Yarrowia lipolytica: one gene and its partner. The protein of the gene in region 2 purifies or fractionates together with the protein of the main gene of each other region. This does not show direct contact. Links are inferred from orthologs where the notes say so. Each region holds a gene or a part of one and is shown on either strand. Other genes may lie near its edges.

Region 1 (3,644 bases), on a different chromosome or scaffold from region 2:
GTGGCAAAATCACGCGGCTGTTCGACATGTACCGAGCGGCCGGAGCGGTTGGCGGTGCAGTAGGCTCTCGAGAGGTAACAGAGACCGTGGAGATCCCCTCGTCTCTGCCGCACTCCGAGCAGCTGGGTCTCATAGACAAGGAGCGCTCTAGACTACTGGCTGCTCTGTCGTCTCTTGATGCTCGTGGATCTTTGCTCAAGAGCGACACAAAGTCGAAATCGAATGCCTCGCTGGCTTCGGGTGTCAACATCACCGCCTCAGACTACTCTCCCTTGTTGGCCTCTTCTTCTGACACTGAATTTGACGTTGTCAAGTCGGAAGATGTGCTTGGACTTGATGGGAACGTGAAGGACGAACGTCCCAACTCAAGGGGCTGGTTCTGGCAGCGTCACTACTCCAAGGTTGGCGAGGCCAACAAGGCTGGCTACGAGAAACTCGTAGATCCCCCATCTGAGCCTCCTGTATCTGGGGCGAGTATGGCTCGAGAATCAGAGGAGGAGGAGCCTCTCATTCCCTCCAACCTGTAAGGGCATGGTACCTGCAGCTCCTTCCTAGCTGACTACCTTTGGTACAAGTAGCTCTCTTCCCAACTATCCCAACTCCGGCTAGTTCCAGCTATAGTTATATTTATCACGGACATTGTTGTAGTTATTGTCGCTGTCGTATCATTTGTATTCACCTCGTTCTAGTATCCGTCTATGTACATACACTACTCCTGGTAAGGGTAGGCTAGGGTCTCTCCCTTGAGCTTCCACAGCTTCTTCTTTCGCTTGTTGACAACATGTGTTCCCCACACCTCCTCGCAATGCTGGGCCTTGAACTTTCGGATGAACTTGGGCTCCCACAGCTCAGAAGCCACGCCCAGGTCCTTGCAGCATCGCATCATGGCGTTGGATTTGCATCCTTCAGAGGCAGTAGGAACGCCGTCTTCGTTAAAGTAGGTCTGTTCTCCTCGAGCCACAGACACAAGTCTCCCCTCGCAGATGAGACCGTATTCACGCGTCACAATCTTGTCAGTGACAACGGTGTCACTTCGGGGGGCCAGACCCCATCCTCCAGGTCCGAACGCCGCATTCAAAACACGTCGGTATTTGATTTCCGGCAGGTACAGCAGTCCGTCAGGGGTGATTTCGATGTCTTCGACTGTGAGAGGAGCCTGGAGAACCTGGGCGGCCTCCTTAGAGAAGGCTTGGGAGCCCAGACCCTGGAAAGACTGTTCCCAGTCGATTTCTCGCTGGTTCATATGCTGGAAGACGTTTGATTGGGCTCCCTCAGGATACTGGAAGGTGGGTGCTTGGTCAACTGTAGACGTGTCGACCTGGGGCATATCGTCGGCTTCGATAGGCTCAGCGGCAGGAGATGAAGCAGCAACAGGAGTCTTCTTGGTGGCGTTGCTCACAGAGGCGGTGGAAGCAGCAGAGGCAGCTTTTCGCCAGTACGAGGAGGCAGCAGGCTTTTTAGCAGGAGTAGCAGGAGCCGAAGTGGCGGAAGCCGCAGCGGGTTTGGTAGCAGCCGCAGCAGTTCGGTAACCCATGGCTCGAACGCCGCGCGCAACCACTAGCGCTACTGTAGGTCTCATTGTATCGTGATGTTGGTGTCAGTATGGAGCAGGTCCAGTTTACATTTCATTTTTCATGTCTGATACGGGTTAGGGTTTGTGTGTGTGAAACGTATGACTCAGATAACGTCTATTGGGCGCTAACGATGTGGGAACAGGTGCGAATATTTGGTTGCGTTTAGGATCTCAGAGTGGTTCTTCCTTATTCAGTTGTCGTCACCAAGCTCTGGTACAGTATCTATTACGATGATTGAGTCTATGGTTGCATACTACGCGCAACCAAGCAGCGGTTGGCAGGTAATATGAGTCTGAAGTAAGCAATGAAGATCTGAAATGATCCAAATAAGTAAGAATTTATTTCATGAATATCTCAGATAGACCTTATCAAAGAATAATGAGATCCTTGGGGTTATCACCACACATGCCTCATTTTGGTCCATGCGTTTGTCATGCACAGCCCATTCTGGAAGAAGAAATTGAGGTGCTTCTTTGGGTGGCAAAAAACTTTGTCCTCGGACGGTGATGCTGAGGAGATGATTGAAAGCAGAAGTGATCGAAGTCGGAGATCGAAACCGGAGAAGAAGATATACGAATCAAAATGGATGGCGCGTATAACTGGTAATTTCAATTTGCCCTGATATAAAAGCAGTCCGTGCAGACGACTCATATCAGCTATTCCAATAGCTGAATTGAATATCAGGGGGGTCTTCGATGGCTTCTCTCAGGAAGGCTACATATGTTTCCAAGCAGCCATTAGTCGGGATTTTGCTGCAGGCGAAGCAGATCCGGACTCCTTCCAATCTACCAATGCCTCCAGAGCAGATTTGGACAAGGTGAGCAAGAAGAGCAAGAAGACCAGAACTGAAGGTATGACCGCGAGCGCACTATGCACTATGTATGTACAGTATGGGATGACATAAACCACGAGTAAAGTATGTACAATAGGGAATGAAATGCGAGAATGTTCCATTATTCGCTCAAAGGTCCACAACTATTAGTTGCACATGATTTACTGTGAATCATGTTTCTACTGTTGAATTTTTTTTTCCATACAGCCTCATATGTCTTTTCGTCTCATCTCATATTTGGGGCTGATTTTAATTCTTACCTTAGCCGTAGCTATCGTCCTGAATAGTACATCGCCGTTCACGACAGTGCTTCACAATGAGAAAAACCAACAAAGACAACCCAGCCGCCACACAAAAACAAATGGCACAAAAACCTGCAACGCAAAAGTCTCCTCTCAAACCCACGCTTGAGCAAACAGAGCTGTACAGGTTATGCGAAGATCTACAGAAACAGTCGCCCTCAATGCTCCTTTCACTACCCTCTCTACCAGCGTTCATCCGCACTCTTCACGCAGAATTGGTAGCAAAGCGCTCTGAGAAGACTTCCAGCTCGTCAAAGTCGTACACAGATTCCCCAGTTCCATTCACGCCACCACCCAAGAGACGTCTCAGTGAGCACATGGTGAGCCCCAACATGAAGCTACACCGCTCAGACAGCTTCGATTACGACACCACGCCAACCAAAAAGAGAAAATCCATGTGAGACCTACCTCCTAAAAAGGGCTCTTCTGGCCAATCCTCGAATCCTAGTCGCCCGAGCCGTTATTTAGTGTGATCAAGCTTATGATGATCTTGCACTCCTGTAGTGGCCCGGCTTCGGCTCTGTTACCGGATTCAAACGCAAACGATACGAAATCACGGCAAACATACCAACACAGCTATCTGAAATCGCCTAACTTCTTGCAATATGAACGCCAGGTCCGGCAAAAATGCCCATTGCGCCCTCCGCAGTATGTACAGTAACATGCGGTTGTACACGCCGCAGGCATTATTTGGAATGGGGAAAATATCATGAAAAGTGTTGTATCTATCTCTTGTAGCAAGGCCCTCTTTCAACCACCCAGCAATTCTCGAATTACGTGAACTTGCTACAAGAACGGAACAATAAACGAAGTCCCTCTCAAATCTAACAAATAAGGTTTGATATGGAGATGTGGTCATACTGCAACCATGTATGTACAAGTACACCTTAAACCTTGTGCTAGTATATGTTTTTAAATTGGTCCCAAATGTTGGAA
Region 2 (5,178 bases):
TTACCCCCACGGCCTCCGATGATTTCCGACTCGAGGGTCGTCTTGGACGCGCGGTCCAAGGAGCTGTCTTTTGGGGCGTGCTTTCCCTCGTGTTCACCGGTCTCCAGAATGCGGTCCACGCTGTCCTTTATCGCTTCGCTCCATTCCATATGGGAGGGGTTTGTCGTCGAGTGTGGTCTGAGTTTCCAGGCGACGTTTGGGGGGTCCGAAACAGTTGATTGAAGTTTGATCAAGTCTAAATCTAAAAAATGGGAGTCAAAAATTTCAGTCTCTGAGACAACTTGTGCATGGCTTCCGGAAAACAGAATTCGACACTGTCCAAAACAGAGCTTTATCTCTCAATCCATGCGTCATCTGAGCGACATTGCGGCGATATTTTTCTGAAACCGTGCGTAATCAGAAAGCTCTGGGCAGCAGATATGCATGGCCGATGAGACCAGTCGAGGAGCAGAAGGTAACCTTGCATAGAAATGTGCTAACGACCCCCCAAAGGGGGAAATCTAGTGTGCTCTTATAATACCTCAATATATGTTTTACATGTTCTACAGATATGGCGAGTCACCTCCCCATGGCTGCGTTGGAATACCCTCATCGTCTTAGAGTTGGAAGACCCGAAGATCGCCGTCTTTCGAGTCTATTGTCATGCAAGAAGAATTGAACGCCTCCTTACAAAAATGTCGTGTGATACAATACCAAGTATGACCAATAAATATTCGTGTATATACATACTTGTGCTTTCGTCTCTATCATTACTTGTCTCCAGGCTTGGCCAGAGCTTCGTCCAATCTATCGAAGAATTCATCGTCAAACGACGACGAGTCGATAGATTCCGCCAGTTGTGGTGCAGGTGTCATTTTGACAGGTGCCAGTGGTATTCCAGAAGATGGTTGAGACTGTCTCTGTTCCACAGGTACCGCCTGGGTCTGTACTGAACCTGTAGTCGTCTGTACCTCATTGGTAGTCCCCTGTGTACCCTCACTAATCGACTGGCCTCCTCCAGACTTACTACTGTTCAGAACATCCTCCAGCTCCTTATCGAAATCATCATCACCGATGAACTCTTCCAGGCTCATATCTTGCTCCCGTTCATCGTCCAATTCCACCAAGTCATGCAAATGTTGAGGAACCTCTTCCTGCTCTAGCTCCTCCTCAATGTCTTCTGCCAGGCTATCATGAGACCGGTTGCCCAAGGCCTCATCGAGATCTGCTTCGAGTTCATCAACATCGACTTTGGTACGCTTCGTAGGTGGGGTAGGGCTGTTAGGTATGTCTTGGCTGCTCTGACCATTACTGGACTGGCTGCTTCTCATGGCCATCTCCTTAGCGGTCATGAACCCCAAAGTCGCATTCTCTGGCATCTTCAACACCTTCTTCTTCCTCTTCTGAGGCACAATGAAGTGGCCGTTCTTGTCTTTCCTCAGACGCAGCTCCTTGTCACCTTTGGCGACCACATCCGCGAGCTCCAGATGATCCTTGTCGGTTTTGTCTAGAATCTCCTGGTTCTCACCTGGTAAGATAACTTGCTTCATGAAATGGGGAGGAGGAGGATCGGTAGCGGCACCGGGAATTACACGATTCGGAGGGTAAAGCTTTACACGAGACCCCTTTTCCATCAAACGCTGAATGTAGCTGTAGTTATCACGCGACTTGATATTGTTCTCCATCTCCTTATCGGTCATCAGAAGCACTACCCGACCGTCTCGGGAACGTCCTGTTCGTCCCATCCGCTGCAGAGACGTAATAGGTGAAGCGTTGGAGTCGTAGCAGATGATGAGATCAACCTGTCCGATATCGAGACCTTCTTCAGCGATGGAAGTAGCCACCAGAGTATTGTAGACGCCCTTTCGGAACTTGGAAATAACCTCTTGTTGTTTCTTTTGGGTCATTCCCCGTCCACCTCCCTCTTCACGTGAAGGAGCCTGGCCAATGAACTCATGTGGCTTGACCTGTGGGAATTTGGTCAGATACTCCATGATCACATTCACAGTACTTCTGAAGCGCGCGAAAATGATGCATGTACCTGTGTTAGCTCCCTCGGGAGCCTTGCTGAAAAACTCGTTCAACTCCGATCCGAGATAGTTCAACTTAGGATGAGCCAGGTATCCTTCTTTTTTCATGATCGTCTTGGTGGCATCTAAAATTGAGCCAATATCCCCTACCTGTTCGTATGACTTTGTAGGCTGTTTTCGAGCCATTTCCTCGTCGTGTCGTCGCTTCAGGGTGTCGTAGAACTGCGTGATTCCCTGGTGTTGCAACAGCTGGGTAGCATGGGCTATGGAGGCTACTACAGCTCCAATACCTCGGTACTTGTACTGGGCAGCAGGTCCGAGATATTTGGTTCGAAACATGTACCGTTCTATCTCCTTCTTGACGCCAAACAGTGAGATTTTTGCAATGTCTGTGTTATGCAGCACCCCCTTCGAGGCCATCATAGACAAGGTAGGTTTGAGTACCTGCCCAGTCAGAGCCAACAACTCATTAATATCGCTTCCCAGATCGACGTTGATCTTGACCTCTTCTCGATTGTGCATGTACTGCTGCACATCTGGATCCTGTTCTCCCTTGACTTCCAAGTGACTAATTAGAAGATGTTGCACGACAGACTGCACCCCTTCAACCTTGGAAGCTGGAGTGGCTGTGAGGCCAAGAACACGGAAGCTTTGGTGTGCATCCAGCAGCTTCTTGACCACTATTCCGTACGAGTATTTGCCACTGGTGTGATGTGCCTCGTCGACAACCAACAAGGAAACCGTCTTTGGGTCCAAGATCTCACCATCGAGATCGAGCTCCACAACCTGAGGAGTGGCGAAAAACACACGTTTGTTAGCCCACTCATGTGCTCTATCAGCCTGTTTAACTCCTCCCATCAGCACACTGCAGTCGTGCCTCGGGATACCAGTGATTCGAAGACAGGCATCGATTTGCTGTGAAACGAGGGGCTTTGTTGGCGCCATGAAAATGATCTTTGCATCTTTAAACCATCGGTAAAAGTTGAGCATGACCACAGACGCAATGAAGGTCTTACCTAGACCGGTGGGAAGAGAGCAGAGAGTATTCTCAATCAGACAAGATTGAATGATGGTATGCTGGTAAGTTCGGAACGGCAGATTTGAGGGGTACAGAAAAGATCCGGTGAGACCCGTCGTCTCATGGTGACAGGCTGTGTCCATTGGTCGAGGGTATGTCAGGTTCAGATCAATGTCTGGTGTATTTGTAGATTCTGCCGGATCAGCATTGTACCTGGGTAGCTGAGTTCGTTGTGGTCCAGAAGGTTGCTGTCGCGGCGGTTGCTGTCCCAGCGGCTGTTGTCGAGCCGGTGTTGGTTGTTGTTGAGCAGTTGATGGCTTGTGAACAGCTGTTTGTTCCTTTGTCACTGGTTTCGCTGGTCTGGGTTAGTATTGAATCGTTCTGAAAAGCGTTTCGAACACTCACTCTTTTACCACTGTGGAGAAGTCGAAATCGTCGAGATCGTCGAGATCGTCGAGATCCGAGTCGTCCAGGAGTGCTGGAGCCTTGTTCTTGGGCAGCGCATCGAATTCGCTGTCGCTCAGGTCATCCAGCAGCATATGTTTGGTGAGTGTTGATTTTGCCACTGTCGCCGCGAAACGCGTACTCGTAATTAACACCCCTGCTTAAAGTTTGGCCTTCAGGTACGTGTTGATTCTTGTACAAGAACAGCATGGTAACTACAAGTATCGGTGGGCGGTATTTGGAGGTGGAGATTGCGTTTTACGAATCTACTGTACAATTACTTGTTCAGTGATTTGAATGGACGCACTTCTCACTCTTCAAACTATGTCTGAGTCCATCACCGACAGTGCATGAGTGGATTCATATTGGGCAGCCCAAACAGTGAGGGCATATCAACAGACACGATGATGGCACTTGAAGAGCTCTACAATCATGTTTCACATTCATTCTGGTATTCGCATCTAACAATGCGAGAAGCAAAATCGCGGTTCAAATCGGACCCAATTCAGGGGTCAGATAAGTTAGCCATACTTCTTTAGAACTGCCTCCATTGGAAGCCACGAAGAGGCTTGCCAACGACCGTGATGATTATGGATGAGCGAACGAGGAAACGAGTGAGCTCGGAAAGAAGCATCTGCGAGCCTTCACGAGAAGAGTGGAGAGAGGCTTGCTAGGAGACACTGAAGTGGACCGACGTTAGGAGGTACACGGATGGGTCGACGCTGTGGACTTGCGAAGAGAATGGAAGCGAGTACACTGGTGATCAGTTGGAATGCTAATGATAACTGGGAACCCTCGGAGGAGATAATGGAGCCAGGACGATGAATCTGTGGAACTGAGCATGAAGAGTTCGGCTTGAGCAATGAGGCGACGAAAGTTGGTGAGTGAGATCACGATCCACTGAGGAGGAGATCTGTGAAAGCCTGGATGTACTGGACGTGATTCGAAGAAGCAAGTACTGAGTAACGCCGAGACAAGTGGTATTTGACGAGGGCGCTGAGGAGACAATCTCGCGCCAGAATACTTACGACAGAGGGGTGATCCCACAGGGAGCCCGATAACAGCTTATTATTGAAGCTTGAGATTAGCAGAGCCAGGAGCGCAGTATTGAGACTAGCAGCCTTGGATAGAGATAGCGACAAAGCGAAAGTGCATTCGACGGAGACAGTTACGGAGTGATCACTGAAGCGGACGCAAAGAGTAAGATGCAGAGTGTGAACGATTGGCTGATCAGATATTGCTGAAAACCTGAAGCAAACAGTGGAAAGCGGAGATTGCAGAAAGCTTGAAGCAAACAGATGGTGGAAAGCAGATTGAAATTTTTGGAGATTTTGGGGACTAGAGATGATGCTGAAGAGTACACGAACAATGTGAACGAGTATTACGTGTCACAGTATTGATGATGCTGTTTGTGGCGTTGATTGAGATCTTGGGAAAGATGAGAATCAAGTGAAAGATATGTGGATTCTATGAGTGGCCAAGCGACGAGCGCTAAGTAAGACCAATGAAATGTTGGATTCGACTTCCATGATGTTTGAGATATTGCCGTGAGCGGTTGAACTCGAATGGTTGGAGTTCGTATCACTGGGATTGGTTATGTGGATTATGGGTTGAATTATGACCCGTGACTCGTATGATCCATGAAGGACGTGGACGTCTCTTAAGGAGGGGAGAGTGTAACTGCACCAGACTTGATGAGCTTCCCTT

The links.
Region 1: the proteins of YALI1_C28963g (region 2) and YALI1_E07040g purify together in Saccharomyces cerevisiae (affinity purification with mass spectrometry; 3 studies listed by BioGRID, with this or other methods). This does not show direct contact. The link is inferred for Yarrowia lipolytica from reciprocal best matches to the Saccharomyces cerevisiae genes MPH1 and MGM101.

Annotation. Positions count from the first base shown.
Region 1 is NC_090774.1:702,500-706,143, forward strand, and holds YALI1_E07040g (uncharacterized protein), read right to left. Parts: upstream 1,580-3,644; coding exon 710-1,579; downstream 1-709. Other genes in the region: YALI1_E07019g (uncharacterized protein), read left to right, coding at 1-527. UniProt on the Saccharomyces cerevisiae protein: Performs an essential function in the repair of oxidatively damaged mtDNA that is required for the maintenance of the mitochondrial genome. Binds to DNA.
Region 2 is NC_090772.1:2,894,713-2,899,890, reverse strand, and holds YALI1_C28963g (uncharacterized protein), read right to left. Parts: upstream 3,567-5,178; coding exon 3,433-3,566; intron 3,388-3,432; coding exon 750-3,387; downstream 1-749. Other genes in the region: YALI1_C28997g (uncharacterized protein), read right to left, coding at 1-149. UniProt on the Saccharomyces cerevisiae protein: ATP-dependent DNA helicase involved in DNA damage repair by homologous recombination and in genome maintenance. Capable of unwinding D-loops. Plays a role in limiting crossover recombinants during mitotic DNA double-strand break (DSB) repair.